Linked DNA regions of Arabidopsis thaliana. The protein of the gene in region 2 interacts with the protein of the main gene of each other region in a pairwise test. Each region holds a gene or a part of one and is shown on either strand. Other genes may lie near its edges.

The links.
Region 1: the proteins of AT4G37445 (region 2) and UMAMIT8 interact in a protein complementation assay, tested with the Arabidopsis thaliana proteins (one large-scale study listed by BioGRID).
Region 3: the proteins of AT4G37445 (region 2) and AMT1;1 interact in a protein complementation assay, tested with the Arabidopsis thaliana proteins (one large-scale study listed by BioGRID).
Region 4: the proteins of AT4G37445 (region 2) and AT2G24170 interact in a protein complementation assay, tested with the Arabidopsis thaliana proteins (one large-scale study listed by BioGRID).

The regions. Positions count from the first base shown.
Region 1 is NC_003075.7:9,355,827-9,364,221, forward strand, and holds UMAMIT8 (nodulin MtN21 /EamA-like transporter family protein), read right to left. Parts: upstream 4,414-8,395; 5' UTR 4,046-4,413; coding exon 3,855-4,045; intron 3,754-3,854; coding exon 3,688-3,753; intron 3,646-3,687; exon of another isoform or gene 3,546-3,645; coding exon 3,429-3,545; intron 3,334-3,428; coding exon 3,099-3,333; intron 2,996-3,098; coding exon 2,831-2,995; coding exon of another isoform or gene 2,786-2,830; exon of another isoform or gene 2,763-2,785; coding exon 2,611-2,762; intron 2,513-2,610; coding exon 2,359-2,512; 3' UTR 2,080-2,358; downstream 1-2,079. Other genes in the region: AT4G16630 (DEA(D/H)-box RNA helicase family protein), read right to left, coding at 6,350-6,365, 6,459-6,754, 6,878-6,997, 7,106-7,198, 7,282-7,383, 7,464-7,506, 7,598-7,716, 7,813-7,909 and 3 more.
Region 2 is NC_003075.7:17,601,687-17,608,843, reverse strand, and holds AT4G37445 (calcium ion-binding protein), read left to right. Parts: upstream 1-3,899; 5' UTR 3,900-3,925; coding exon 3,926-3,956; intron 3,957-4,046; exon of another isoform or gene 4,047-4,065; coding exon 4,066-4,180; intron 4,181-4,273; coding exon 4,274-4,334; intron 4,335-4,421; coding exon 4,422-4,700; 3' UTR 4,701-4,750; downstream 4,751-7,157. Other genes in the region: SRFR1 (Tetratricopeptide repeat (TPR)-like superfamily protein), read left to right, coding at 1-221; AGP18 (arabinogalactan protein 18), read left to right, coding at 1,903-2,652, 2,832-2,918; AT4G37440 (uncharacterized protein), read right to left, coding at 4,998-5,180, 5,254-5,732, 5,823-5,876, 5,982-6,298, 6,815-7,157.
Region 3 is NC_003075.7:7,855,071-7,862,902, forward strand, and holds AMT1;1 (ammonium transporter 1;1), read left to right. Parts: upstream 1-3,112; 5' UTR 3,113-3,149; coding exon 3,150-4,655; 3' UTR 4,656-4,848; downstream 4,849-7,832. Other genes in the region: AT4G13500 (uncharacterized protein), read right to left, coding at 1,917-2,061, 2,508-2,577, 2,642-2,804. UniProt on the Arabidopsis thaliana protein: High affinity ammonium transporter probably involved in ammonium uptake from the soil, long-distance transport to the shoots and re-uptake of apoplastic ammonium that derives from photorespiration in shoots.
Region 4 is NC_003071.7:10,272,211-10,281,374, reverse strand, and holds AT2G24170 (Endomembrane protein 70 protein family), read left to right. Parts: upstream 1-4,108; 5' UTR 4,109-4,186; intron 4,187-4,253; 5' UTR 4,254-4,480; coding exon 4,481-4,588; intron 4,589-4,932; coding exon 4,933-5,097; intron 5,098-5,193; coding exon 5,194-5,303; intron 5,304-5,387; coding exon 5,388-5,496; intron 5,497-5,569; coding exon 5,570-5,682; intron 5,683-5,759; coding exon 5,760-7,068; 3' UTR 7,069-7,276; downstream 7,277-9,164.

The DNA.
Region 1 (8,395 bases), 8.2 Mb from region 2:
TTTTAATGCTGAAATGTCATTTTTAACGGTTAAACGTTTAAATAACTTGATACTCATGAGTTTTTATTAGTGGTTCGAGTGTTTGAACAATAAAAACTAAACAACATATAATCATAACATTTATATAATTGTACTTAGGTTGGTATCCTTTAACATACGATGGTGTCGACACATAAGTGAATGACTACACAATGATGATTGGAAAGGTCCAAGTAAGTTGAACCACTAGACCACCATAAATCCAAATTTCCGGTTTGGTTATTTAGTTTTTTTCTTAAAGAAAAATTTATTTTAAAAATAGAGAAGTATATGTTTTACATGACTTCAACATGTTTTGCATTCGGTTCCACTTTGTTTAGCTGAATTGAGAACTCTTGGCTGTCATTATTTTGTTTGCAGCAGAGAGATTATACTCATTGCTGTTATAGTCTCATTTCAAATGAAAGAAAAAGACAAAAAAGTTTTTAAAAAAATGTAATTGTTTGCGAGTGTGATAAGTGTCTTAATGTTTTGAATTTTCGAACCGGGACTGAATTTTGTTTATGATTGCAAGTTCAACAAACTTGACATTCATACTTAAATCTCTATTTAGTTTTACTTTAATTTCTACGTAATGGGTTAATGATAAGAACTATAAAATGATTACCATTGGTTCAATGATAGTATAGTATTCTGATTTAATTACCAATAATACAGATGATACTAATAAATGTGATAGCTTCTCCGATTCGAAAAACTTACTTATGTGTTTTGGTTATCCAAAACAAGTTGGTTTATACTTTCTAAGCAATTAGAAGTTACATAATTATTTGTCGTATTAACTATAGTAACAGTTCTTGTTTTGGTTCATACAAAACATGTGGATGTCAAAACAGTAAATATGACTACTAATAAAAAAAAACTAATACTTTTTTAACAGAGGAAAATACCATGTATTAAAAATGTTATTTCTTTGATAAAGTGTATGAAAGATGTTGCATAGTCACACAGACGTAGCAGTAGTCAAGAATCCATTAAATTGATAATATACCTTTGGTAATCATGGTTTTATTGAAAAGGTGACAAAGAATACATATGTTAACATTACCAGCAAGGATTTGAATTTGAGTTGTTGGAACTTTAATACATAGTTGAGTAAAGAAGAGGCTTACACAATGGAATCTATCGTGTTAACTACTTAGCTTTGCTTCAATCTCAATTTTCAGTAACTACGTAACTCTTCAGATGCAAACAAAAAAATCTCTGTTCAGTGTTTAATATTAGTTAACTTTTCATCCAAATAAATATATTAATTGACTATAAGAAAGAAATCGTGGAAACCTCTTGGTCTAATGGTTGACCAAAAGTTCATTAATGCTTTTACATCCAGAAGTCTAATGTTCCAGTTCCAGCTACTGCGATTTATTAGCAAATTTGCAGATTAATGGAAGCACGTATGCATGATATCTACAACGAAGTACAATTATAGTCGTTCGCCAAGATTTTATGTAGAGAAGATATTGAAGGTATCCATCAAGCGCATGGAGAAAGAGAAGAAGATATCGACATTGATGGAGGAATTGTAATCCTTCTTTTGTCCCCAACACACATGCCTGTGAAATTTTTAAAACTTGAGAGCAATACACCATTTGAAACAAAGTGATGAAAACCTTTAGGAGGACGAAACTAAGTTACCATTTAAGCCAACATCCCATCCCTTAATGACTTTACCATGACCTGCATGTAACAACAACTTCATAAGTATCACGTACCAATCACATAACTCCATCCCTTAATTGCCATATCACATAAGTATTAAAAGGTGCTTTTCCAATGGTGGAATCGAAGATCTTCCCGTTCTCTTGAAGCTTTCCGATATAGCGGACACTAACCTGCTTGGTCATCTGCTATGTAATGACAATTCTATAAATACCCTGACTTGCGTTTTTTTGTTTCTACCTTGTTTGTCATTATCTAACTCCATCTCCACACCTGACTTATACTCTGGCTCAGCTTTTCTTTGGGAATAGGAAAACAGTCTTTGGCGTGTATTTGCTTAGTTCCATTCGCATTCTCATATTAGGTAGGTTTATCTTCATCTTCTAACTCAACGGTAATTTTTATTTATATATAAATATACCTTCACATTGAACAACTTTTTACATAACATCGTTTAGGCCCTTTTTCTTCGCCCTGTATGTATGTGATGTTTTTTTTATATCCAACTATTTTAGTATCACACACGAACATATACTGTAGTCTACAGCCTACTACATGTATATCTAACCGAATTATCTGTAAAGTAAAATTGTCTTACTTCTTTAAACCTAAACTAAATTCACAAGAACATTAAGAAGAAGAAAAAAAAAAGACTTTGAACTAAAGCAAGAGAGGCTTCTGAAGATCAAACTCTGTTCTAAGCAAACTTTCTTCATCATCTTGTTTCATTTCATCTATTTCTTCACAATCCTCTTTTCCTTTAGCCCACAGAACGAAGTAGAGTCCTCCGAACATCAACGCCATTCCCGCAAAGCTAATTTGACAGAGAAAAACAAACAAGAAAGAAGATAAATGACTTCTCTTTCTGTCTAAAAGATCATACAATGAATGCGAAAAGCTGCAAAAATGTACCTTCCTAGGTTGAAACTCTCTTCCATGGTAAAAGCAGAGACAACAACACATACCACAGTTGCAATTGGACTAAAGAGAGACACAATCACTGGTCCTTTCCTCTTAATCACCCATGCATTGAAGCTTAACCCTCCTCCACTCACCAACCCTCCCTAGAAAAAAAACAAAAACATTTTCAACACATCCAAATGTTGCCAACCATATATGATTTATGACGTACCAGTATTGCGTATCCCACAAGGTGGCCGAGACCGATTACTGATGCACTTCCCATTTCCATACTTCCCTTAAGAGCATACTGCAAAGCTACTGTGGTGATCCCACCCATCAAAGATACCATCGAGAACATTGATATAGGCGCCGGAAACTCGGCTAGTATGGATGCCTAATTAGGACGATCAAAGTGATTTCACAAGCAAAGAATCAGATTAATTAGCACAACCGGATATATGATAGCTCTAGGGCTAAGAAGGGGTATAAGGTGAAACCTGAAGGACAATACTAGAGGACAAGCCGCAAATGGCAAGGAGGAGATAGAGGCAACCTAAGATCTTGTCCTTGTCCACAACGACTTCGTCAGGGACAATAGGTATAGTCTTAACCGAGCTTAAAGTAGCGGTAGTACTGTGCATTAAGCTCATAATGAGAGCTCCCATCACACACAACACTGTCCCTCCCATCTTAACTCTACTATACATACAACTTAGCTTCACTTTCTCCATCCTTAACAATTACAATTTATTCAAATAACACATTAATGAAAGCTCTAATCTTCAAACACTAAACAGATTAGATTAACACAAAAGTAAAAGATTTACCCAGCAGCCCAAGCAATGACAAAAATGAAAGCAGGGCAGAGATTAGGCATAGCTGTAGCCATTGAAGCAGAGGTGTGTTTCATTCCTTCCAAGAATAACCCCTGGAACAGAGTCACTCTGTTTCAAACACAACTTCTCTCTTAATTAATCCCTTGTTATGAATTTTTAATTCTTCTCCTTCTCTTTAACGTATAGAAGAAGCAAGGTAAGCATCTATTAATCAAAACATGCAGAAATAAATAAAAAGAGGAGTTTTTACCCAGCAAGAGCAACCAAAACTAGTTTTATCTTCAACTTGAAACTTAGACTTCTAGGCCAAAGCTTCCTACAAATACACACCACAAAAATCCAAATTTTTATTAGAAAAAGAATGTAGAATAAAGTTCGAAACAGAGATTTTGTAAATTAAAAGAAAGAAGAAGATACCTTTCAAGGAGAAAAGCGAGAGGGGTGATGAGAAGAACTGATGCAAAGGTGCATAAGATAACGATAAGAAGTGGGTCAATTCCGAGAGACAGCAACTGACTCAGTAGCTCCGAGTTTCCGGCGTAAATCACCTGAGCTCCGGCCAATCCTCCGATTATTCCTGCTTCTATTAACGTCTCTCTCTTCATCATTTTTTCAACACAAAAAAAACACGAAGAAAATAAAAAGAATAATAACGGACAAATCAGTTGGAACCCATTTGGTAACCGAACAGAAGGATTCGATTTTGTGGGGGAACTAAAAAAGCAGAGAAACACTAATTAAGTTTTTGGTTTTGTTGTTGTTGATAAATGAAAATAGAAAAGATGCTTTGTTTGTGATCTCTCTTTTTGGTAATGTGTAATGCTTGAAGTTGAAACTTTCTCTATCTTTCACTTCTTGCTTTTAAAGACATGTGTCCATTACATTGCATTGGTTTTATTATGGAGTGTCTCGCCATTATAGCTTTTTGGGGAAGCGCAGATTTTAATTTATTTTTAGTCTAAAACGGTGATTATTTTTATAACACATAGAGTCCTCAAATTTTGGTGCAATGGATTTAATATGTATGAAATAAGACAAAACAAAAATTTGAGAGCGGTTAGCTTAATTTGTTAAGAAATAAATATTTCGGTGAGTCTGATATTTCTTAAATAGAACAAATAAATAAATAAATAAAATTCGCCAAATCGGCTAGGCAAAAATTTAAGATTATTCAAATTGTCAAGATTTTTATTTGGGAAGTTGCCACTATATTAATAAAATTTGGAATATAAAACCATAGTTTTGATTGGTAAAATAACGTAATAAAAATAGCAAAATTATAAAACAAGATTCTATTTATTTAAGACTAAAGAATAATATGTTTATTTTGTCAGTAAAGTCATTTAAAAAAAGGTGGAATGATCGATCATAAATCGCCCTCACACAAATTTATGTTAAAGATGAAATTCTGTACTACAGTGAAGTTTAAAAACATGCAGAGTATGAAAAAGAAAGATAAACCAAAAAGAAAGGAGAAGAAGGAAAAAAAGACAGATGCAATAAACTCCGTCAGATTCGGGGACCTTGGCCTTTTCTCGGGGGAGTAACAAAAATATTTATCAGTGTTCTTCTTTTGTTTGTATTCTTATTTTTGGATATATAATACGACATCTTACCATCTTCTCCTTTATTCGTTTTACGTATCTGACTATCTGTTCACTCTTTACTTCCTTCTTTTTTTCTTGCATGCAAATATGGAATGTCTTCATATTTGTATTTGTCACAGTCTCACAGATAAATCATATGTGTATGCCATGTGCCTACCTACCTATAATCATTTTTATTGGTAAAAAAAGCTTCCTATTCTAATATCCTTGTTAATGCTAATGAGATGGTTTAGTGATCTGTTTTCATACCGAAATGTTTTAGTTATTTAACCCAAAACACCAAAGGATGGTTTAGTGATTCGTTTTCACACCGAAATAGTTTTATGATCAAAATATTTTCTAGGGATCAGTTTTAACTAGAAAACTAGACTAGAGTCTATAACGAATTAGTTATTTTATAATAAATGATGTGCCTATGAAAGATTTTTAATTGGAGATGTATAATATTGGAGATGTTGTGTGGAGTGTAAAATATGGTAGGTGAAGCGTAAGATAAGAAAAAATGAGGAGTGTAAGAAAGAAAAGAGCAAAAGTGGGGATGCTTACACGTCAACAATCCTCAGTCTCTTTTCCAATGACTTGTGAAGCGTGTTATCGTCTCTCTTTTCTCCCCCTCTTTTTTTCCCAACAAATATAATATGCGATCTATCTAAATATATTAAGTTAAGAGTTTAATCTTTATCCACATACATTTTTTTCTTTTGTAACATCTGTTATCCATATCATGAAAATTTAATGCGTTTAAAAGCTTAGAAACATTTCACGCTGACCAAAAAAAAGAAAAGTTCACGCTCAAAACACTTAAGACTTAGTTTTATAGACCCTAACTAGTATCAAAACCCCTTGGTGTGAAATAAAAGGCATCTTGAATATGCAGAAACTCATATTAGCTCCTAAACCGGTTCAAAACATTCTAATGACTAATGAGTTGTGCCACGTACGAACAGACAAAAGGTTACAGTCTCAAGTTCTGAAGTCTGTGAACATACATAGTCTTCTCACGTGCCCACGCGTCTACAACTACAACCGTCGCCAACTCACGTGACTTTTTACCTCTTCTTTTTTTTTTTAATTTTTTTTTAAACCACTTTTTGCTTCTTCATACTACGAATAATCATGGTAAAGCTTTATGAAAGATTATAAAAACCATAGGACAAAGAAAACAAAATTTCGAACATCTTAACCAGTTTTGTTCTAAATTATGATATTACAACAATAATTTAAATTGTTTAAACCCTTCTCAATGAAATGTCCTTCTTCTCGTGGGATTGTCCTTCGATATCTTCTCAAAAATGCTTTTTCCTTTTACCTACGCTTATATCTGCACGATAAAAGTAGAAAATACCGAGTTAAACCAACAAATTACAATTTATGTTACTGGTAAATTTCATGTTTATGATGAAATGTTTCTTACCTGGCTTTGCTCTTGAATGAGTTCTTCGACTTCGTCCGAGGTTTTGCTGCAGCCGCGGCACCGCCTCTGCCCTGTTTCTTCTCGCCCATATCACTCTTGAACAGATCTTTCATCTCTTCACCACGAGGCTGGTTTCTTGGTTTACTCCGGCTTTGTTTCTTGTCCGGCTTTGGTCTCTCCATCTTACCGGAATCAATTGCTCTCTGTTTTGCTTTCACCGCTTTTGCTCTCATGTAACCAAGATCCTTTAGTGTCAATCCCTTCTTATCTGTCTCCTGTTTTTTCTTGTCTTTCCCCTGAAAAAAAACACACATTTAAAATCAATACAATGTTTGTCATCCCGGCGAGAGAGAGAGAGAGAGAGAGAGAGAGAGAGAGAGAGAGAGAGAGAGAGTGATGTGTATCTCTGAAATACTTACTCTTGATCTTCCTCTCTTTTCGTCTCCTTCTTCGTCTTCTTCCTCTTCTTCTCCTTCGTTATCTTCTAGCATCTCTCTGGCAGCTTCTAGCTTTCTACGTTTTTTCCTAGGAAGATTCTTCTGTACTTGCATGGTCAAGAGAATTGTAAGTTCTCTAGGAAGAAGCAATCAACACTAAACTAGAACGATAATGCAACTGAATAGTGAAGAGCTTCTTGATAAACAGACCTCGCGTTCACGTTTTCTCTTCTCCTTCATCTTGAGGTCCTCTGCTCTATCAGCACTAACTAGTTCGCCTCCAGCAGGGTTCCCTGCAGAATCCTATTCAGAGAAAGTATAAAGAATGATTCAGACAAGTGTATCCCTCTCTCTACAACAACAACCTCAGGAAATTAAAAGAACACCTTTTCAGCCTGTGCCACGAGCTTCTTCTCCTTCTCTGTCATGAACCAAGTCCTTTTTGGGCGTGCATATATTTCATCTCTGTGCTCAAGCATGTTCTCCGCCTGCAGAAACAAGCCCATAATCACGAATTTGAAATTATTCCCACAATAATTGAACAAAGACAAGAACCAAAGCTGCCTACCTTTGCAAATTCCATTTCAGCTTTCCTTAGAGCTCGCTCATCCCTGAAATTGATGAAAACACCTCAAAGCTTAAGTATACAGATCAACCAATTCTCCTGGGATACCATAATTCTTTGATGAGTGTGAATGAAACCTCTCTGCTGAAATAACAGCGGAATATTGATCTTCCATTTCATCGATTATCTGAGACCACTTGACGATTGACTGCTCTGGGATGACTCGGCTCTTCAACTTTGAACCCACCTTCTTTGCCTTTAAACAAAGAAACAAAGTCGATTCAAATGTCTAAACAAAGCGATAATGAATTGGGTAAAAGCAAGATCCATGTATGTCTGATGATTCACTTACAATGACTTTCAAAAGGGATCGGTCACTATCAGTCACAAACGTTACAGCATAACCTTCCCTTCCAGCCCTAGCTGTTCTACCAACTCTGTGAACATAACTGCAAAATCAAAGGAAAACATATTGTCCTCACATCAGTTAAAGAGAACAAAACTAGTAGCTTTTTAATTTAATCATAATACAGGAAATATATCTTGTTTACCTGTCTATTTCCCGAGGACAAGCATAATTTATAACTGTTTGAACACCAATGATGTCAAGTCCCTGGAATGATCAAAGCAGACAGTGTTCAAGAGGTTAAATAGCAGAGCTACTGAGAAGAGAATCTTGAAAATAAGTTTTTTGCTTCTTATACTTACTCGAGCGGCTACATCGGTAGCAATGAGAAAATCGACCTCCTGCTTTCTGAAAAGCTCCAGAGACTGCAAAATGATACCATTAAGTACTTGCAAACAGAGAACAGAAATATTCATGTACAAATAAAGCTGATGTGCCCAAGTTTCTTACATCAAGACGTTGTGCTTGAGTTAGGTTTCCATGAAGCTCAGCTGCTTTGAGGCCAGCTAATCCGAATAAAATTTTCAGT
Region 2 (7,157 bases):
TTGCTGCTAATATGGAGTTCACTGAGACTATCCCGAAAGGGTTACAGATCGATTGGGAAGCTATACTTAATGTCGAACCGGGTTCCTTTGTTGATTCGGTTAAGTCTTGGTTATACCCGTCCCTGAAAATCAATACGTCGTGGAGAGACCATACGGAAATTTCCTCGGCTTTTTCGACAACAGGAGCGGTTGTTGCTGCGCTTAGCACTTACAACGATTGAGATTCAAATCTCTCTCTCTCTGTCTCTCCTTCTCTCTCTGTCTCTCTGTGTCTCTCTCACAATCTTTCATAAGAGGTGAAGAAGGCTAACTAAACCATGAGCAGTAAGAAAACTTGTGTTTCAGTCAAACATCTTCCGTCTGTTTCTGATCTAAAAAACAAAAAAAAAGCTAGAAAAGCTTTGTTAGGGTTTTAACTTTATTAACTCTCGTGTTTAATATAATTTTACAGATTTAATAATGTATCTAAATATGATTTCTCTGGTCTCAACATGAGAGGTTCCAACATGAGAGTTTACAACCCTTGGCCGATCTTATGTTGTTTTAAGTTTATTCTGACACCTCTTTTTTTAATACAATCTTCTGTCTGCTCTGATTGACAGCATTGATACCATGATCATATAACCGTTGCATGTTTCTGAAATCAATCTCAAAATAATTGCTTCATAGTAAAAAATGATTACAAGATTCGAGTTTCATTTATTATCGTTATAACACTCACTGTCTCATTCGTCAAAGTCTTTAACAAAGTCAACGAACGACCATTAGCTTGGGCTTTCTCTCCACCGACGCGCCGCTCTCAGAATTTCCACTTACTCATTGTCTTTATATTCAAAAACTCAAAAAAAAAAAAGTATTAAGAATGGCTTAAGACCGAAACGTGTTTTCTCCTAGTCTGGCAAAACACAAAATAATAAATATAAGGAAACGCTTATGAATACTTTTCAATATTCTACATAAAGTCATTGAAAGAAGGATTGGAACAAAGTGAGAAGCAACAAAAAGAAATCAAAATCGTAGCTCCTAAGCAATACGTTTCTTCATTGGCAACGGTTTTGATTCCATTTCGACTCGAATGAAAAAAGGCCAAAGAGTATTCAGGCAATTACGGTGACGGTGGCAACAAATTATAGATTAAAACGAGCCAAAATAGAAGAAAGTGCCAACAAATCCGTGTGGGCACCAATCCAAAGTGGCAAAATCAATCAACCAGCTGTCCTCTCCCTCTAACTTCCGATCAAAGACTCTCTTTTTTTTTGTTTACGTTTTCTTTTCCTCATTCTCCTTGTCTTATTTTGATTGCATTATATTGAACTTGAGTTTAATCATTTTTCATTATTAAGGTTATTTATTTATAGACGCATGATGCATCAAGTCATAATAATTTCACCCGTGATGATCACATAATAATACTAATCCAAGACTCCATGTGTCGTACCCCAAAAATTTATCTCAATTATACTATGTACCTTATATTGTGCTATTTTTTTAACTAATAATTTCCCGACAATTTAGTAGTTGGAAATTTCTCGACCGTGTGATATAATCTATAATATAAAATATCATAATTATTAAACAATGATAAAATTTGTGAGCGACATTGGTATCAATTTCAAATCCAATTATTATGTTGACACAAGACTAGTGATTTATAGTATAACCAATTTAATGTCTAACGTAAAAACAATTACTATTAATTGATTTTCTATATCTGATCATATGTTCAACAAAACACATGCTAATCTACCCACCATTGGCGAATAAATTTATTGCAGAATATAACAGGAGAAAAATGCCAAGAAAAAAAAATCCTTATAAAAACGCACAAGAAAAAAGTAAAAGAGCTATTCTGTAAAATAAAAATGAAAAAAGTATTGAATCCTACATTAATAGATACAGGATATGATGTTCTGTTTCTCAACGGCTACATCTGTCTGTGATCCTTTTTTAATCCAACGATCCAGATCTCTCCTCATCGCCTATATAAAACTCACTTCTCTTACATCAAACAAACAACACGCTTGGTTAAACTCCATCAGTACTTTAACCATCACTTCAAAGTTCAAACTCTTTTTTTTTTTTTTGTTTGATCCAAATTTTAACAAAATTATGGATCGCAATTTCCTCCTAACAGTTACATTGATCTGCATTGTCGTCGCCGGTGTCGGTGGCCAATCTCCTATCTCTTCTCCGACCAAATCTCCCACCACTCCTTCTGCTCCAACTACTTCCCCTACTAAATCCCCCGCCGTTACTTCTCCCACTACGGCTCCGGCGAAAACTCCAACTGCTTCGGCTTCTTCACCGGTTGAGTCACCAAAATCTCCGGCTCCTGTTAGCGAGTCGTCTCCACCACCGACACCTGTTCCAGAGAGCTCTCCTCCGGTTCCTGCACCAATGGTTTCTTCTCCAGTGAGCTCTCCACCGGTTCCAGCACCAGTAGCTGATTCTCCTCCAGCTCCGGTAGCCGCTCCGGTTGCTGATGTACCGGCTCCTGCTCCAAGCAAGCATAAGAAGACTACAAAGAAATCGAAAAAGCATCAAGCTGCACCTGCTCCGGCTCCGGAACTTCTCGGTCCACCTGCACCACCGACTGAATCTCCCGGACCTAACTCCGACGCTTTTTCTCCCGGTCCTTCCGCCGACGATCAGGTACATTAGCTTATATCAACAATGTTGATATTTATCTACCGTCACAAGTTCGAGTATCAATGTTAAAAATAACCAATGAGACATTTCAAAACAGTGAACATAGATTTTCAATTTTTGTTATATTGATTTAGTAATTACATATTCGATTAACTAAAATGAAAATATGGAATTGAATGCAGAGCGGAGCAGCGAGCACAAGGGTGTTGAGGAATGTAGCGGTGGGAGCGGTTGCAACCGCATGGGCCGTTCTCGTTATGGCATTCTAAATTATTTATCATTTCACCTCTGATATTTTTTAGTTTTTATATTTTTGACCCTACCATTGTCTCTTTCTTTACGAATTTGGTAATGAGTATTATTTAATTGATTATACAGTTTGTTTTCTTTTATTTTATTTATATGGAAATAATAAGAATTCATATCTGTCAGTGATGAAAATACTGTTTTACACATTGATTGTTCTTTTCTTTTGCAGACAAAAGTCCTTTAGTGATGGGTCCGAGTTCTTTATTGAAAATGACACATTCAATTTTAATGCAGAATTATGGACATTTACTCTAAAATAAAATGTTTGTGTAAGTAACGTCTATGTAACAATAAGCAAAGCAGTTACATAATTTGTTTTAGTCTTTTAAATGTTTAAAGTGTTAGTAAATCAAATGTTGATATTTACGTTTGAAACCAATTACATGTGTTTCTTTAAACAAATATTTACAATTGGAGTATAATTATGCGAGAATGAAAGTGTCAGCTACTTAGTTGGATCTTAGTCTTTTATAATGTGAAGTTGGTAAATATTTATTGAATTCATATCTGATACCCAACTCAAGTGGCCAAGTTGCTATAAATGAATTGTCTAAAATTTATTACTAAACATGTATAGATCCAACCAATCATATAATACAATGCTTTTTATTGTACCTTTCAAATAGCTAGATTCATATTTTTGTCTTGTTCCTTAGAGAACTAGATTTGAAAAAGAAAAAAATTAATGGATATCTAATATGGTAGGCAAAAAGAAAGTGAGAATAGAGGACAAGTCATATTCCCCATGCTTTTATTAAAAGTACATTACTCAACTGTGAAGAAATGGCTAAGATTTTGTAAGTAAAGCACAAGTTATACTTGAACCAAGGTCTTGTGTAGAGATTCAAGATTCTTGGCTTTGCAAAGACACAAACCCACCAAGCCAAGTCTCTGATTCCACACACCAATACAAATTTGTATATAAACATAACATTTTCTTCTTCCTAAAGACTAACTTCTAGACAATATGGGTAGTTCAATGGGCTTTCTCGGAAAAGGTTTTGCAATTTTTTAACCTAACAATTATCGACTCAAATCGTTATATAACCGTTTTGACAAATTTTCGTCCTATATATCTTTCTAAATAGATTTCGATATTTGGCCTAGGGGTACCACCGACGCAGATGATGAATATGGTAATGGGTTCACTCTACAAACAATTTACCCAAAAAGCTATCAACAACTTCGACGATTTCCACGTTGCTGTTTTAGACATCTTTAAGTAAGGATTGTTTCATTATTTGATCATTCGAAAACAATGGTTATGTTGGCCAACATTTTTTTTTTTAAAAGGAATTTTATCTATTGAGTGCAGCAACTTCAACTCGGCTTTACCAGGCAGGCACTTCGATTTCCCAACCCCGGACCAAATAAAGGTGAGTCCTCTCCTCTATCAAAATCACACAAAGAATCTTATAATAATTTCTCTATATTTTTAACACAATGTTGAATGATCTAAACAGGTTTGTTTCGCGCGGTGGAAGGAAGCGAAAGACGAAGAAGAGAAGAAAAAATTGTTCATTGAGTTCATGTCAAAGAGCGTGAAGCCAAGTAAACTCGATGATGTCACTATGATCACCGGAATAGTATCTCCACCGGCGGCAATGGCGGCTAAGAGAGCAGGAGAGAATGTTCCTCAGTTAAAATTAATCAAACTTATACCTGATGTTATATTCGTCCCTACGGTCACCATTTTAGCCATTGTCTCTGCCAAACTCTCTAGACGAATGTATTTGAAATAGTGTTTTAACTAAGCTTTCTTTCTTTTCCAAACAAAAAAAACTTAGCACCGACAAGATATAAAACATGATTGATTGATAATACAAAATAGAGAAAAATATATACACTCTAAATTATAGAAGTAAAGTTCAAAAGTTGATGTAGTTTGAATATATTGTTGACATGAAGAATCAAAACACAGCCACTATAAATATTTCTTTGTACTTTAAAGGCTTAAGAGTTAAGAATATCTTAGAATGAACAATTTTTACTTTTTAACACAAGATCCGATTAGTTACTTGAAAGTTTCCAAACCTTCTTCAGGATCTTCTTCGTAACCCGGCAGAGCCTGACCTTCGTTTTCCTCGCTTTCTCTTCCTGTTGGAAAACCTAGAAGCCATCACAGCATTAGACTTTGGCTTCTCTCTTGAAACCCGACGCCTCTTTGGGTTACTCTCTTCCTTCGTAATGATTTCACGATTGCGCGGTGTTCTTTTCCTTACCTGCGTTGTGTTAGAATGGCATATGAGACCAAAAGGGTTTAGCAAAGTTACACTGAGTTAGCGGAAAACTTACAGGTCTTGATGGACCTTCCTCAATTGAAGCTTGTTCTGTCTTCACTAGATTCTTATCGGGAATAATAGATTTCCCTTCCCTTCGCTTTGATGCTAGAATCTCAGACAGTAAAATATCTGTTGTCTCGTCGTCTTCAGGTGAGACGTGATGAGATGAAACTGAAGCAGATTTCACCGGTTTTTCTTCAGAGATGATCGATTTCTCATCTTCGTTTTTGATAGCCAGCAGGGGCTTTTGTTGTTCTGAGCTGGTGTATACATCAGCAGCTCCAAGTGGATTCACTGTGTTAGCCAGAGGGAATATACTTGGATTTTCACTCAAAACCTTGTCTACGCGGATCTTCAAGTTACGGGCTTCTGACTTTGCTGCTTCAATTTTCAAAAGTATCTGTTCCAAGTACGCATCGCCTTCTCTAAACTCGAGAGGCGGTGTCTCTTCAGAGAAAGCTGTCTCATCCTTGGCGCTCTTATTCTTCTTATCTGATGACCCAAGACAGAAAATATTTTATAAGATCAAAGTTTTCAAAAGGAGTAATATCATATCATAGTTGAGATTTTAGAACACCATACCTAGGTTGCGGGAGTTGTCATTAAGAGCAATATCGGCCAAAGATTTCCGACAATCTATACAAAGATCAGAAACAATAAGATAAGAAATTATTAGACAAGTAATGGTAGATGAACATTAATCACGACCAGAAAGACAAGAACACCAAACTAGTTCCATACCATAATAAGAGAAGAGATTATGGTTTGATGCATAGGATGTAACATCAGCGGTCTCTTCAACTCGCTTTCTCGTTTTCCTCTTCATGAGTCGGGTTTTCTGAGTATAACATGGAAGAGGAGGTAAAGCCTTTACTCCAAGTTCTTCTGATTTGACATTTTCTAACTCCAACTTCTTGGCTTGGTAATATTCTTCAACTTCTTTGTCGTACTTCTGTGCTTGGTTCTGAAGTTCTTTGTATTTGAGTTCAATCCATTTGCAACGCCACATTAAAGTAGGCTGTACAAACCTCCTCCAATGATCAGTCAGCTTCCTTTTTCTGCCATAAAAAGGAACAAACCATAATAATTACCGCATACCATTCACGATATAGAGCAATTCTTCTCCTGACTTCCTTAAAAGGAGATAAATCAAAGACGCAGCTAGCTAAGTCGTAGTAAAGTAACACACAAATTTAAGTCCTTTCAGAATCAATCAAACAACACATAGATGGAACTGATAGTGTTCAATAATAAGTAACAGTAAACAAGGCTACCAAATCCATGAAAATCTACAACACCAAATTAAGCTACAGACGTTTTTCTCATTAGTACAGGAACCCAAGTAACTCCTAAATTTCAGTCTTTTAAGAATCCAGCAACATAGAGATGGAACTGATAGTGTTCAATTAAAAAGTAAAAGTACACAAGCTACCAAAACCATCAAAATCTCTACAAAACCAAATTAAGCAAGAGGACATTTTTTTCTCATTCTGCTATTGGTTAAACACACAACAAACCTTCATGGAAACCATTAAGATAAAAGACTAAATAAGAAGCGTGAGGAAAGAGCTTACCTCACCCAAAGAGGAAGTGAAGTCTCATTACAAATCATGGAGTCAACTTCTTGATCATTCTCATGTTCAGAATCCGTTCCACCAAACGAACTCGAATATCCATCAGTCCCATCATCACACCCTGAGACTTGAATCTCAATGTTATCATTGCATTCCAATATATCAACCTCGTCCTCGTCGAACTCTGCAACCTCTTTTTTAATAGAAGCATCAGCATCAATATCATCACCACCACAAGGAAGATCCTCAGTGACATCTTCTTCAACATGATTATGAAAACTATGGTCCTCATAGTTACTAGTACAAGGCATATCTTTTGGTAATTCCCCAATCTCCTTATTGA
Region 3 (7,832 bases), 9.7 Mb from region 2:
ATGTCTGATTAAATATAGTAAAACATGTGTACGAATTATTTAGTTTGTATGGAGAAATATTTTTGGTCAAGCGATTAAAGTTCCATTTTTTGTGGATTTTTTTTCGCTAGAATTTAATTACGAATATTTGTTTTGTAGAGTTAACAACCTAAGAATCGAGATATATCTCGACATCGATGATATAAAGAAAAAAAAAGGTATAGTATATATTTTTAAAAACATACACTTATTGTTTTTAGTGATGATACTGGTAAAACACTTTCATGCAATATTATTGAAATACCACTTCAAAGACTAATTTTCGGTATCGATAGAGTTTTAGTTCGTCGACGTCGAGAAATTTTATATCCTCTTCGATTTCTTTACAGTTTTTATCGATTTTTTTTGTATATACTTCTAATTTTCTTCTCTCTATATGACTTTTCTCTCAATTTCTTCTTTTTCATATCTACTTTTTAAGATATTTTAAAGAGTCGTGAAAGAGCATCCCTTCAATATGCTCATGCCATTGGTATTGAATTCACCAAAAGAGAAGCCTCTCATCAAATAAGTTCTTCAATCCCGAAACTTGAGCTTAGTCTCCAAATCCTTTGAGTTAAGATGTCTTATGACCCTCGTCATTTATAAATTAAACTCAATAAAATTGATGTCTACACTTTGATCGGATTGAACAAGAACATTGTCATGTTCACTTGCAATATTCACATAAGCCTTTATCGGATTCAGTTGTCCGCAAATATTTTGATATTTACTCGATGAAAGATCTGCTATAAGGGTGAATAAATTTGTAATTCAAGCCCCATCACAAATCGCGGTAGATCAACTGCATCTAGCTTGGAAATCAAGAGTACTATATGCTCGTTGACGCCTTCATCAAGACCAAAAGTAAACTGTACATTGTTGCCTCTATTCCCCAATCTTGGAATCTAAATATCTCTTGATCAATTTTTTATGCTTGGTTCTATCATATAGTTACTTTTTAACTTGATGAATTTCCAAACATGTTTTAGGAAAACTACTTTGTGAAAATTTTATATTATATAAATAGAAAAGATAATTTAACGGAAAAGAAACATTAACTTTATAGCATGTGGTATGTGGATATTATGCTCACTCTCAATTAGTCAATTAAGATATACCAACAACAACCTGGTTGAGATATCACAGAAATTATCAATTAATATCTTATAAATGAATTCGAAATATGCTAAATGCAAACATAGTTTTGTAAGTACGTAATTTATAATATATTAATACTCAAATCTAAGACTTACTTTTGAAAACAAAAGAATATCTTGTCAAATTGACACTTTTTAATGTTCAAAAGAGATAGTAAGAAATTTCGCCTAACCAAGAAAACAATAAAAACAAGGAATTTCAGTCTCAATACTATATATATTTTTCTGTTATTCACTTATATATTTGGATGTGATAGAATACTTTTTTAAGAACACACATATCTTATCTTCACCGATATATTAGCTGATACATTTTTTACATTCCTTTTTATTATTATTATTCTTATTTATTTTCTATTCACATGTACTTACAAACAAAAACTTAAAGACTTTGCAATTTGCGTTACGAATATTTTTCGTCAGGCTGTAATTTGAAAAGTCTTCTAGATGATTTCAAGTCTCTGCTTAATGTGCCAACTAGGCTCTATGTCACTACTTTGTGTTGTCTCTAATTCTCATTCTTCTTGACAAGACCAAACATATCACTAATGATGAAGAGATGACTAATATTTGTTTATACATTTGCTTGTAATGAAGACATGTAGTATAGCAAAGCACCATATAATATAGTGATAGCATTCTATTAATTTGTTCTTTTTTACAGCCGAAGAAGAAGAGTATAAGAAACATGTTTAAGATTCAGCCTTAAACAAGTGAAGAAAAAACAAAAAGAAAGGCTCAACGAATGGGAACTTTGATCCAACCATTGGCAAAAGCAATGGCTAAGATGACGAATGGAGTTGACATACCGAATATGATAATGTAAGGAAGAGGCGTCTTCATCGGATTCTCTCCTTCTCTTTCTCCAACGCTTTGCCAATACCTACAAAATTCCAATGCAATCCTCATCCATAACCATTTCTTCAATCACAATTGCATGTTTATGAAAAATGAACATGCAAGAATTTAAGTTCTTTTTCTATTTTAAAAGAGTTTAGTTCTTTTGACTAAACTACAACCCAAATATTTTTATTCTTTTGCTAACACGGATTTGAGTCTGGATATTGATACAATACTAACACAATGTCACAAACCACCAGTCTACATGTCATTGACACATACAAAAAAAAAAACTACTTAAATTCTGCAATGGAGACTAAAATTTTTGTATTAAATTGGTAACCTACATATCGTTTTGTAATTTTCCATGTTTTCATCAATTTCCTAGGTTTGTTTTTCTGTGATTTTGCAAAATTACATTACCATTCTATGAGTTTCTGTTATTTTCTACAATCTCATGATGAAAATTGAGAATTAAGATTAACTTACTGTTCAGGTTCTTCCTCTTTGGTTATAAACTTTTTCTTATCTTTAGGCTTCACTTCTCCATCTCCTCCACCTTATGCAATAACCAAAGATTAACAAAATTTACATCTACAAACAAATAAAAGATATAAGAGTACCTAATTTGGCATGAAGCTTGAATTCTGGGAATCCTAATGGTGATGGTGGACAAAAGAATTGAGGTAAAGCAAGCAATGATGAATATGAAGAAGATGATGAAGTTGAGGAATCACTAGCCCTGTGGCTAAACGAAGAAGAAGAAATTCGAAATTTCGCTGCCATTTCCAACAACTATATGGATGTGATAGAATATTTTTACATTTTATTTTTCTGTTATTCACTTATACATTTGGATGTGATAGAATATTTTTTTCTGAACACACAGATCTTATCTTCACCGATATATTAGCTGAAGCCTGATACATTTACATTCCTTATTTATTTTTTATTCACATGTATGTACTAATAAACAAAACTTAAAGACTTTGTATTATGCGTTACGAATATTTTTCGTCAGGATTGAAAAGTCAACCCTAGGCCTTTAGCTTCCTTCTTTTATATAAACAGAGAAACAAAACACTTTCTTTCTCAGCCTCTCTGTTTCATCTTCTTCTCTAAACTCTCAACATGTCTTGCTCGGCCACCGATCTCGCTGTCCTGTTGGGTCCTAATGCCACGGCGGCGGCCAACTACATCTGTGGCCAGTTAGGCGACGTCAACAACAAATTTATCGACACCGCTTTCGCTATAGACAACACTTACCTTCTCTTCTCCGCCTACCTTGTCTTCTCTATGCAGCTTGGCTTCGCTATGCTCTGTGCCGGTTCCGTGAGAGCCAAGAATACTATGAACATCATGCTTACCAACGTCCTTGACGCTGCAGCCGGTGGTCTCTTCTATTATCTGTTTGGCTACGCCTTTGCCTTTGGATCTCCGTCCAATGGTTTCATCGGTAAACACTACTTTGGTCTCAAAGACATCCCCACGGCCTCTGCTGACTACTCCAACTTTCTCTACCAATGGGCCTTTGCAATCGCTGCGGCTGGAATCACAAGTGGCTCGATCGCTGAACGGACACAGTTCGTGGCTTACCTAATCTATTCCTCTTTCTTAACCGGGTTTGTTTACCCGGTCGTCTCTCACTGGTTCTGGTCAGTTGATGGATGGGCCAGCCCGTTCCGTACCGATGGAGATTTGCTTTTCAGCACCGGAGCGATAGATTTCGCTGGGTCCGGTGTTGTTCATATGGTCGGAGGTATCGCTGGACTCTGGGGTGCGCTCATCGAAGGTCCACGACTTGGCCGGTTCGATAACGGAGGCCGTGCCATCGCTCTTCGTGGCCACTCGGCGTCACTTGTTGTCCTTGGAACATTCCTCCTCTGGTTTGGATGGTACGGATTTAACCCCGGTTCCTTCAACAAGATCCTAGTCACGTACGAGACAGGCACATACAACGGCCAGTGGAGCGCGGTCGGACGGACAGCTGTCACAACAACGTTAGCTGGCTGCACCGCGGCGCTGACAACCCTATTTGGGAAACGTCTACTCTCGGGACATTGGAACGTCACTGATGTATGCAACGGCCTCCTCGGAGGGTTTGCAGCCATAACTGGTGGCTGCTCTGTCGTTGAGCCATGGGCTGCGATCATCTGCGGGTTCGTGGCGGCCCTAGTCCTCCTCGGATGCAACAAGCTCGCTGAGAAGCTCAAATACGACGACCCTCTTGAGGCAGCACAACTACACGGTGGTTGCGGTGCGTGGGGACTAATATTCACGGCTCTCTTCGCTCAAGAAAAGTACTTGAACCAGATTTACGGCAACAAACCCGGAAGGCCACACGGTTTGTTTATGGGCGGTGGAGGAAAACTACTTGGAGCTCAGCTGATTCAGATCATTGTGATCACGGGTTGGGTAAGTGCGACCATGGGGACACTTTTCTTCATCCTCAAGAAAATGAAATTGTTGCGGATATCGTCCGAGGATGAGATGGCCGGTATGGATATGACCAGGCACGGTGGTTTTGCTTATATGTACTTTGATGATGATGAGTCTCACAAAGCCATTCAGCTTAGGAGAGTTGAGCCACGATCTCCTTCTCCTTCTGGTGCTAATACTACACCTACTCCGGTTTGATTTGGATTTTTACTTTTATTCTCTATTTTCTAGAGTATTATTTTAAATGATGTTTTGTGATACTTAAATATTGTTTTGGATATTTTTTTGCATTTCAGTAATGTTTTAGATGTACAGTTTCATGGGGTTGTGATGATAATATCTATGTGGTCATTTGTGTTCTCTTTGGAGTTTTTTCTATAACGCTTTTTTCAAATTTTATGATCATTATTTGCTGCATTCTAGATAAGCAATTAGGAATGTGAAGCATGGACTAAGTAAAAGCCTGACCGTTTTTAAGTTTGGACTTTTGATATAGCTCATACTTTTTTGATATTAGTTCATACTTATTGCTTTAAATAGCTAAAAAGTCTAAAACAAACCTTGCATTGACGCAATAGATATAAATAACTCGAAGTATTGCTTTCTAGAAGCATTAACAATTTGGTAAAACGAAGTTGAACCATTTACTCAAGCATAATAATCAGAAATGACAATCTTTCATGTCTGATGCAAATAAATAATAATTTATGGAAATAATTTCTATGTCTTACATCACTAATTAGACTTTTAGATGCTTGCAAGTTTGAAGTTTCAGCAGAAGTAGGTGCTTTTACAAACTCTTTTTTGTTTTAATTTGATAAAGTGTGTTTTTACAAACTCTGTTTTATTTTATTTTGAAAAAGTGTGTTTTTACAAACTTTCAACCAACCTATTCACGAATCTCTAATTTCATTTGTCCACCACATGAAATAATGTGTTTATTATATTAGTGTTATTTAAACTCAACGATTTTGGAGATTCGTACGTACCTTGTTGCCGCAACTAAAGATTCGGAGTATCACAGTTATTATATTAACAAATGGATTCACAAAGTAGATCGCGAATTACTTGAAAGTTGGAACTCGTGATAATGTTGTCGATACCACTAAATGGCAACTTCGTACATATGTAAAAAAAGTCAGGGTATTTGGGTGCTTTTCAAAAAGATGGAAGCATGACATGAGTGATGAGGCAGCTCCTACAAGTTGGAAAGAAGATATTTTGTCTTTACCTCCAAATTAAAAAATTGGCATTTTTAAATATCAAAAGGTGAAGAAGCCAATCAATTAGTATATTTATTTGTATTTTTTTTTTTTTTTCAATCTCTTTTACAAGTTTTAAGGAACTTAATGGCCAGCACTTTGATTTGATAGATACACACTAAATGAAAAAGTTGACCAGATGGCTCCGGTACTCGGAAACAAATTGCATGGAAATTTTACATAATTAGGTACACACATTTCAACATTTTGAAGAATATATTTGACTGTTTTGATTTTGCAGTTTCAATTGCTTTATGATTTCTACTCGGTTATTTATTGCTTTCCTAAATTTTATTCTGTGTATCTTACTTTATTATTTTTTAGAATTTAATATTTGTTGCTTCTATTCTCAATGAATATACTCAACAGATGAAATAATTAATAAATAATTCCAAACATTTGAACGTTAAATAATTAAATAGTCTTGACCATTTTAATATTTTTTCTAATTGTAACATTTTCTTTAGTATTACTAGGTTATGATTATCATTACACGTTTGGGTTAAATATGTTTTTGAACTTTTGGCGACAGGCGAGTCACTTGTTTTATAAACTTAACTTATACTAATCATTTAACAGGCTACATGTACTTTGCTATAGGTGAGTCATGTAACTGTTTAATTAGCTAGTGTGAATGTGTGATCGACGAAAAAAAAAAATTAGCTAGTGTGACCATATTACTTATACAACAACAAACTAAAAACTTGTCAAACTAAAAAAAGAAAGTAATATATCTGTTTGTAATTAGTCTAATCGTATTAAACTTTTCAGTTTTCACATAATAAAACAAAATTACAAAAATCTGATTATAAATGCATCACTTTTTGTGATTAACAATTTTTTACCCTAAAGCAATAGTAATTATTCTTAAATTTTACAATTCATCATCATTAACAAATCAAAGATAAAAAAATTTAAAATGCTCACTTTTCATTTCTTAAAAAAATTTAATCTAAATTGATAATCATTATCTACTCGGAAGAAAATAATCGAGATGACAACGGCTTGGTTCATGTGTGAGCCTCAACCACCCCCTCTTTCTCCGTATTTCCCTAACATGTCTTCACGAAAATTTTATAATGATTTATAGAAATAATTCTGTGTTGTCATATATTATTGGAATTTTCAATGCTGGAAAGTTGCAGCAGAACTTGGCGTTTTACAAACTTTGAACCAACCGAACAGGAATCTTCTTGTCATTACATGCAATGTTTATTTGATTCAACATTATTTAGATAACCGAACGAACAACTTTGGAGATACGTACCACGTTGCCACACCGCAAGATTCGACGTGTATCCTAATATTTTACTAATAAGAAAGATAAGATTCGCACAAAAGAGATCACAATTTCGTTGGAGCCCGTGATATCGTTGTCAGTATCATAAATGGTAATTCCGTACATACATGAGTTCTTATGGGTAATTTTGGTATTTTAGAAGTCAGAAAGAAGAGATTTTACCAAGTTTTTGACGTCTCTAAAAGTGCAATTTGGACCTTTGTATCTCTTTATCAATACCTAAATAAAGAATCTAGATGCAAAATTGTTCCGCATGTTCAAATTTGTGTAAGAACATAACATAACACTATTATATGCAAAGATAAAACAATACTCCATCTAGAAAGACTCACTCCAACTGTAATATTCATAATTCATTTATTGTTGCTACAGATTCTGAAGTTGAAAAGAAGTTGCGCAAAACAATAATGATACTAAAATGGCATAGTCAATATTAGTGGCTATAATTAATAACTATACGTTACCGTACAGCTAGAAACAAAACCGTAAGACTTTCACGACTTTGATTTTTCCTTGTTGATTTGACTTTTTGTTCGAATAAATATATTCAATGTATCATATGCTTCCAATATTCCAATGATTAATGTGAAAACAATTCCATTTTCACCTTCAAACTAAAAAAAAACTTGGCTGACCTATAGATTCTAAATAATTTTATTCTAGAGTCCGACTTCGTCATAGATTCTAACTATTTGATTGAAGATTTTTTTTTTTCGATTAGAACTGTTTCAAACTTTATTATATACAAGAACGAATCAAAGTATATCACTCTTTACTCTTTAGTGAAAAGGTGAAAAAATGGGAGAAGTTATT
Region 4 (9,164 bases), on a different chromosome or scaffold from region 2:
ATCAAGAAGCAACAAGAAACTGAAATATTTCAAACATGCCGGTCAGACGTTTAGTAAGACCAAAAAAAATATTCCTTTTTGAAATTGTTATTTAAATTCTTACATAATAACAACTGTTTTTTCTTCAACTCAAACGAAAGAAAGAAAAATTCAAAAATATAAACGAAAACATAAAAATATCAAAACGAAGCAAAATAGAAGTTCAAAAACGAAGAACAATTGACAAAAAAAAAAAAAAAAAAAAAAAAAACGAAGAACAACTTTTCATAGAGTGGAAAAGTTTGGAGGCGCTAAGATACATGTCTATCATTTTAGAATGATTTTGAAAGATACAGTGACAATATAATTTTTTGTTCTTTTTCATCGTCTTACACCTTTATTTTTTTAATCAAAGTTTTCGGACAAAAATACAACATAAGTAATTTAGGGTCTAAATGGTAACTGTTAGTTAAGTTTTCTTGGTAAGAACTTCTGAGTTCTGACCACATGCTGACATTTTTTTTTTTGTTTTTGAAAGAAAACATGCTGACATTTTTGACGTTTACCTTCTAGTATATTGAACAAGAAACGGTCAATATGCTTCTTCTTATTTTTTTGAATATTCTTTTCCATACATTGCCGGAATTTCGAACCAAAGTTTAGATTCATCTCCAGAGTTTTGTGCAGTATAGACTCAATCGTTGGACCATGTGTATGCTGATGTATACATGTTAATCTATAGTAGCAAAATATGATTGAAATCAATGTAAGAATATTCGAACTTCACTTTTACTTCTACATAAAAACAAATTGTACTATTAGACCATTATGAAGTGGACGTTTTTGTGGTTGGTTAATAGGATCCTAATGAGATTTGGATAATGTTATTTGTGTTCTCGATGTTCATCTCTGAATTTTTAGTTTTTTCATCTTTTTGCGTTGTCTCCTGCATGCAATTATTTGACTTGACTTGAATAAATATAGTTTAGTTCTTTGTTTGTTTGGGCAAAAAATGTAGTTTAGTTCAGAAATTCGGTAAACAATATTAAGATCTGGTAATAAGAGACATATTTTTTGTAAGTTTAACCATTGCAATTTCAAGGATTTGTTCTTGTGGTTTAGCCCCTTTTAGTCTCAGTAAGTATTGTGTGTTTAATCTTGGACCGGATCCTTTTGTACACAATATTTTACAATATATGCAATTTCAGATATGATCAATACAAAATATACTTTTTTAGATAGAATTTTAGAAACACAGGCTCCATGTTCTTAAATATAAGGCCAAAAGGGAAAAAAAAGTTCCCACTATCTATCGAATACTTGTTAGATCAAACGATGATATATTATTGTATAGAACTACAATGAAAAAATGTATGGTGTAACTGTGTATTAACATTATAAACGTGATGGTCGTGTCGTGAGTAGGTAGTTTTTTTCCTTGGTCAAATAGTATAAGTTTTCTTCTCTGTTTTATAATATTTTAAATGAAAATATTTTACTTTTCTACAATGTTTTATATATAGTAGATAATACGAGATATGATTGAACCCTATCAACTTGCTTCGCTACGATTTTCAACAATTTATCTCACAAAACCAATAAAATGTCCACCCGTTATCAACGTGACACAAACACATCAAAGAAGGGAACAGTTCTACTGGCCACCTCATGAGTCATGACTCAACCATTATTGTGTCCTGGACTTCTTTCTAGAATGTAAATTGATGAACGAAAATTTCAGCTCTGCCCTTGGCTAAAGCGGCTGAAGTCCATGCTTTAGGCACACAAATTTATAGATAGTTGTAAAAGGTAACAAATTTCGAAAATGTTTCGTAATCTAGTGGTTATTTCATAGATTAATGTCTTATTAGTGAACGGTTAGAATTTTAGCTTTGTTTTTTGTGACTTTTAATTAGAAATAGATTTAAAAATGCTTAACAATTTTAAATAAACTTAAATATGTTTTAGGCATTAAAATCTGTTGGGTTAGTTCTGTCGAGGCGGATTGGACGTTGGTTTTTTTGTATATAAATTAGTGGGCTTCATGGATAGATCCATCGTAGATCACAAATTCATGTGGATAAACTCGTCGCAGATTGTGGGTTGCCCGTAAAAGAAAAATCAACTCTTTTAAAACATAATGTTTTTTCATAGAGGATTTCAATCCTTTTGTCTCTGTTAGAATTTTTTGTGCAGTTCAAAAACCCTAATCAAAGTATTTCACGATCACTTAACAAGAAATCTGAAGAATCATTCTCTATTTCTTCAAGTTTCTTTTTATGACCACATCAAAAAAAATTAAATCGTCGAAACTTTTGATTTTAAGTCAAAACAGAGCATTTGTAAACTACACACTTGTAATGGTAAGTTATTTGTGAATACACATCCATGATTAGATGTTTTATTTTTGTTTGATTGATTCGCAAGTAGTGACTAGTTTTGTATTTTGTTACTGATATGATTCGTTTGACTCCGAGTATTTTAGATCTAATAATCTGGAATATCAGAAAGTCATTAAGTTGAAAAATGCTAAATCTAAACGACAACAAGCTAACAATGAACCAAAAGGACCTAAAAAACTGGAAAGAAAACTAAGAGATGAAATAGGAGCACCTAAGCCACATAGAAAAAAGGTGAATGAACCAGAAACATTTAAAACCCAAAGAAAAAAGGGTGATGAAGCAGAAGCATATAAAACAGAAAGAAAAAAAAAGTTTGATGAAATTGAAGAAAAAAAGTCTGTCTTCATGTTCGTTGCACTCGTCGTGAACCCCGAACCTCAAATGATTTAAAGATTAAAAAAGTATTAGACTGCTTTCGATAATTCCTTCTTAGTTCTATGAAACACTATAATCTATTTAGACTACCTCAGCGTATCAATATTTTTTTCTTGTATAGAATATCCAATCACGACCAATCGAATTTCATCAATCTATAAGAATGCCATTCTCATGCAATTTTTCTCTTATAGCCAACATGCTCATGCAATTTTGATTATTTACTTAAATAAATAAATAAATAGAAGTTTATATAAGTGTCAATAATAAGCTTAACCTTGAGATTCTTTGAGAAACGTTGCATTTATAGAAGAATTTGTCAGTAATTCTAGTAAGATACGAGCAATCAATTGGTATTTTTGATTGTTACTTCTCTCATCTCACAAGTTTGAATGGTTACGGCAGTTAAGATGGATAAATCCGTCAATGGTTTAATCCGAACTATTTTTAAAGTAGACAACAAACCGTCGCAACCAACTCTATTTATATGTAAAAACGGTATGTGGTTGATCCGCATCAGTTTTCTTTTTTAAATCCACACAGAAGTAATTTGTGAAATGGTAAATAAAACGTGGTCAAATACACAAACGAATTTGTCCACCTTAACCACAACAATCATTTAGACCCTAAAATTGATAATAAATGGACAAGTGAACATAGAAAATATGGCAATTTATGTTATTTTAGACAATCGAAGCGATTATTTAGGCGTTACCTGAGAGTCTAGTGCCTAGATAGAGTGTAAACGACCGCCTAGACCATTTTTTATAATACTGAACTTTTGTAATCATTTATTTCGGAGGTGGTGCACACGACAATGCCTACATTACTCGTGAAAACTATATTATACCTCAGAATACCAAAGTCCATGTTCCCGATCCCAATATCATCAAAGAGTTGGCCCATATCAAATGCTATGTTAATTTTTCTTATCTTTTCAAATTATTCTAATGTTGTGTTGCCAACGACTGCTTTTACTTTATAATAGAATAGAAATAATAGAAGTTAGTTTCCGCGATTACTATTATATGCTTACATTTATACCGGACTAGTTATCTCCAGAAGAAAACCGTCCGTTTTCAATTTGAAAACAGTCTGTAAAAGAAAGACTTACATTTATCTAATGCGGATTTGTATTGTGTGTGTGTGTGCTTTTTTCTTACATGTATTTATTGGTAATGTACATTTAATTATATGTCAAGGTGGTTGCTGGTGTGTGTAAGGTTTCATAATCTGCTAGAATAGTTAAGAGGTCACCTTCATTTACCAAATGGATTTTGTCTTCTAATTGATTTAAATCCATTTTTTTCTTTTATTCTTTGAATACTTTTTCATAATTATTTCGTATCCTCCACACTAACTCATTTCTACTTTGCTACATTTACAAGTTTCATCTAATCTACTTAAATTAACAAAAAAAAAAAAAAATTGTTTCCTTATTTAAAAATTAGATTTCTCGTAAATTGGACTTTGATTTTAATTATTGTCTATTCAAAGTTTTATTTTTTTACCTTAAAAAGTGTTGACTTTGATATTTCATTACCTTAAGAAGAAGAATCACCGACAGCTCCAACTTAGGAAATCTCAACCGTTGATTAAATCAAACGAGATACTAAAATATCCAACGGCCATAAATCGTCCAATTGCCATGTTTCTTCCCACTCTCTTCTCCTTCATTTAAGAAATTTCACTCTCCGAAGAAGAAGACGAAATCGAGCAAATCCATGGCGAAAGTTCGGATTTTGATCTTCACCCTTGTCTTATTCTTCTCCCTCAATGTCCATATCCATGGATTTTACCTTCCCGGCGTCGCTCCACAAGATTTCCAAATGGTCAGCCACATAAAATCATCTCTGTATCTGTATTTCACAAATGCAGCTTCTTCTTAGAGCTTTGATTCACACTGGGTCTAGATTTTTTTCTGATTTAGATCCAACGCAATCGATCAAGTAATCTTGTTAAAATTGGATCTATGGCTCTGTTTTATGAGATTTGGGTAATTTTGATCTTCAGTTACCACTGAGTGTTGTGTTTAAAGAGAATGTTTCATTAGTCTATATGTATTAGCCATTGTTTAGACTTGTTTCTGTGTGAATCTAGCTTTTGGAGTAGAAGAATGTATAATGGTCATTATCTATAAAGGTTCAAACTTTGGAGTTATGGTTTTGTTTTTCAGGGAGATGCATTGATGGTGAAAGTTAATAAATTGACATCTACAAAGACTCAGCTTCCATATTCCTATTATTCTCTTCCTTATTGTCGTCCAGAACATATTGTTGATAGTGCTGAGAATCTCGGTGAAGTTCTTCGTGGTGATCGAATTGAGAACTCTCCTTTTGTGGTATGTTCTTGTTTCTTCTTGGTTCTTTCTCTATCTGTCTTGGTTAAGTGGTAGTTGTTGAGTTGTTTTTAATGTCTGTTTGTTTCTTTGTTGCAGTTTAAAATGAGGGAATCGCAGATGTGTGCTGCGGTTTGTCGTGTGAAGCTTGATAAGAAAACCGCAAAGGCGTTTAAGGAGAAGATTGCTGATGAATATCGAGTTAACATGTGAGGAGATTGATTTTGTCGCCTTCGACTGAATGTGTTTTGTTTTTCTTCTGTTTTTATGAGGAAGATTGATTTCTTATGCAGGATTTTGGACAACCTTCCCCTAGTTGTTCCGGTGCAAAGGCCAGATCAGGACAATGTTGTAGTGTATCAGCATGGTTTCCATGTTGGTCTCAAGGGAATCTTTGCTGGCGTAAGAGCTCATCATCACCTTTTCTGAATATGTTTCAATGGAAAGAGTTCTTATTTATTTGATTTTCTTGTAGAAAAAGGAGGAGAAGTATTTTATCCACAACCACTTGACCTTCACTGTTAGGTATCACAGAGATATACAGACCGATTCTTCAAGAATCGTTGGCTTTGAAGTCAAGCCGTTCAGGTAGCTTTTTGTGATTTAAGGACTTTGACTCTGTATTGTGTAAGCGACTAACATCTACTGATTTTATCTCGATGCAGTGTCAAACATGAATATGAAGGTCAATGGAATGAAAAGGCTCGGTTAACGACTTGTGATCCGCATACAAAGCGTGCAGTCACTAACTCTGAGTCTCCTCAGGAGGTTGAAGAAGGGAACGAGATTATCTTCACATATGATGTTGACTTCCAGGAAAGTGAGGTGAAATGGGCGTCTAGGTGGGACACTTACCTTCTAATGGCTGATGATCAGATTCATTGGTTCTCAATCGTTAATTCTATGATGATTGTTCTTTTCCTCTCTGGTATGGTCGCTATGATCATGCTAAGAACACTCTACCGAGATATTTCCAACTACAATCAGTTAGAGAGTCATGAAGAGGCCCTCGAAGAGACGGGTTGGAAATTGGTACACGGAGATGTTTTCAGACCGCCAACAAACCCGGAGTTGCTTTGTGTTTATGCAGGCACTGGAGTTCAATGCTTTGGAATGATTCTTGTCACCATGATCTTTGCTTGTCTTGGCTTTTTATCTCCTTCAAACCGTGGTGGTCTTATGACGGCTATGCTTTTGCTTTGGGTTTTCATGGGACTATTGGCAGGATACGCGTCTTCACGCCTCTACAAGACGTTAAGAGGAACCGAATGGAAAAGAAACGCTCTGAAAACCGCATTCATGTTTCCCGCTACCGTCTTTGTCGCCTTCTTTGTCCTTAATGCGATAATCTGGGGACAAAAATCATCCGGTGCAGTCCCATTTGGTACAATGTTTGCTTTGGTTGTCCTCTGGTTTGGTATCTCTGTTCCACTTGTTTTCATCGGTGGCTACATTGGTTTCAGAAAACCTGCACCGGAAGATCCAGTGAAAACCAACAAGATCCCGCGGCAGATCCCAACACAGGCCTGGTACATGAACCCAATCTTCTCCATTTTGATTGGAGGCATTCTCCCATTTGGCGCAGTCTTCATCGAGCTCTTCTTCATACTCACCTCAATATGGCTACATCAGTTCTACTACATATTCGGCTTCCTCTTCATCGTCTTCATCATTTTGATCATCACTTGCGCAGAGATCACGGTCGTCCTCTGTTATTTTCAGCTGTGTAGTGAAGACTATCAATGGTGGTGGAGATCTTACTTAACATCAGGCTCTTCCGCGGTTTACCTCTTTCTTTACGCAGTCTTTTACTTCTACACCAAACTTGAGATCACAAAGCTCGTCTCTGCAGTGCTCTACTTTGGGTACATGCTCATAGTTTCATACGTATTCTTCGTCTTTACTGGTGCAATTGGTTTCTACGCATGCTTTTGGTTCACCAGGCTTATCTACTCTTCGGTTAAAATCGATTGATCTTTAATCACCTTCTTAGTAAGCTGTATCTTAAATCTTGTTCTTTTTCGTTCTTTTGTTTCCTCCTTTTAAATTTTGTGATGATTTTGAGATATGTAGACATAAACTTTTATTTTATTGTAAACATACATAGAGCTCAAGAGTACAACAATTGTCTCATAATAACAGCAACTTGTCACACACTTTTATCAGCAATCTCAGTTTTTATTTCTTCCATTCTTAGTAGATTAGAAACTAAGTTTGTTACTACTGCAAGGTCATACAGTTTACATTTTTTTAATAACTGTTTCTAATCGACAATTTTTTTTTGGAATTCATGAAACTGCGTACCTCATGTTTTTAGGAACATAGTTTTCAGAATATTAAAAATGAAATAAAAAATAATGAACTCGATCGACAAGGTCAAGTCAAGATAGTATGTGGTAGATAAACAAAAACAAAAAGAAACGTATGTGGTGGATAATTTAGAATTGAATGAGTCAATCAGTAGTCTATATGGACCAGTGGCACAAATCACTGAGCAGAGATGCATGAAGAATTAGGAGGATAAGAAGTCCGACGAGTTCACACGATAGATTGTTCTCGAAGTCAAGAACTAAACTCCAGAAGTGTTTTTATTTTCCTTTTTTCTTATTAAAGGCATACTCAGAAGCCATAGTCATAACCTATTACTTACCACACACTGCACACACATACACACAGAAAGTAATTATGAGTCCACAACAATCTTATTGCTTTTCTGGTGTTACGTTGTATTCCTTCTTTTTGGTTTTCTTTGTTCTACACACATTTGCTTCTCCTACGCTTCACTATTGCCGCCATGACCAAAGGGATGCTCTTTAAGAGTTCAAACACGAGTTTCCGATCAATCAATCCAAGCTAGATCCTTATTTTGCATCATTAAGTTTATGGAACAAGAGCAGTGATTGTTGTTATTGGAAGGGTGTCAAGTGCGATGCTAAGTCTGGCAAGGTGATTTCACTTTACCTTAATTACGTCTTTCTCAACAACTCCTTGAAACCAAATAGTGGTCTTTTTAAACTCCAACATCTTCAAAAATTAACCATTTCAACTTGCTATCTCTATGGGGAGATTCCTTCTTTATTCGGAAACCTTTCCCATCTCACAAAACTTAACCTTCTCAATAATAGATTAGTAGGTCAAGTTCCATATTCATTTGGAAACTTAACCCATCTTAGGCACCTAGACCTTAGTGAAAACAACTTAAGTGGGAGAACCAGTTCAAGGGACATATAGAGTTTGGGAATACAACTTCATCGCCTAGGCTTATTGGTATACACCTTGGCGATAACAAATTTGATGGCTCAGTCCCTGAATCTATATCTAAATTTTCGAAGCGCAAAATGTTCAGTCTTACAAACAACAATTTCATCGGGACAATCCCAAAATCTATATCACAGTTACATAACCTCTATATCCTTGATCTTTCCTACAATAAGATGGAAGGAACAGTACCAGGTTGCTTATCAAGATTGACATGGTTATCGCTTTCTCACAACTCTTTTAGTAGTATTGGAAAGTCATTAGAAGTTCTAGATAGAGCTCCAATGCGTGTATTGAGTCTTGAGTCAAATTCATTCCAAGGACCGTTTCCCCATTGGATTTATAAGAAAAGTCAATAGAAATTTTGCTTCCCCACAGAGGCCGAATATCTCCAAACACTCTTTCTTCTTGGACATGTTACACATGATGTTGAAATGGACATAAAGCCCGCTGGCCTGAAAGGATACGGTCTTATTTTGTGGACCCGAACCCGTTTAAAGACACTATATAATAGGTTGACCCGTTTAGATTTGACTACTAATAATGGATCTGAAAAATACTAAAAAGGTAGCCCGTTTAGACCTAATTACTAAATTGTCTGAATAAGATGCTAAAAGTCTTTGCTTTCACTATTCTAGTGATTTCTTTCGGAAATTCCAGAAATTTGATTCGAAATGATTTGTGGATTTATTTGAATGAAATCCACAATTTTCTGAGTATTTCGAAGGAGTCAAGACAAAAATTTCCCCTCTTAATCATGTGAGGAAATGAAGCATATCTTGTTCTTTGTTTCTTGATTTACTTTCTGGTAG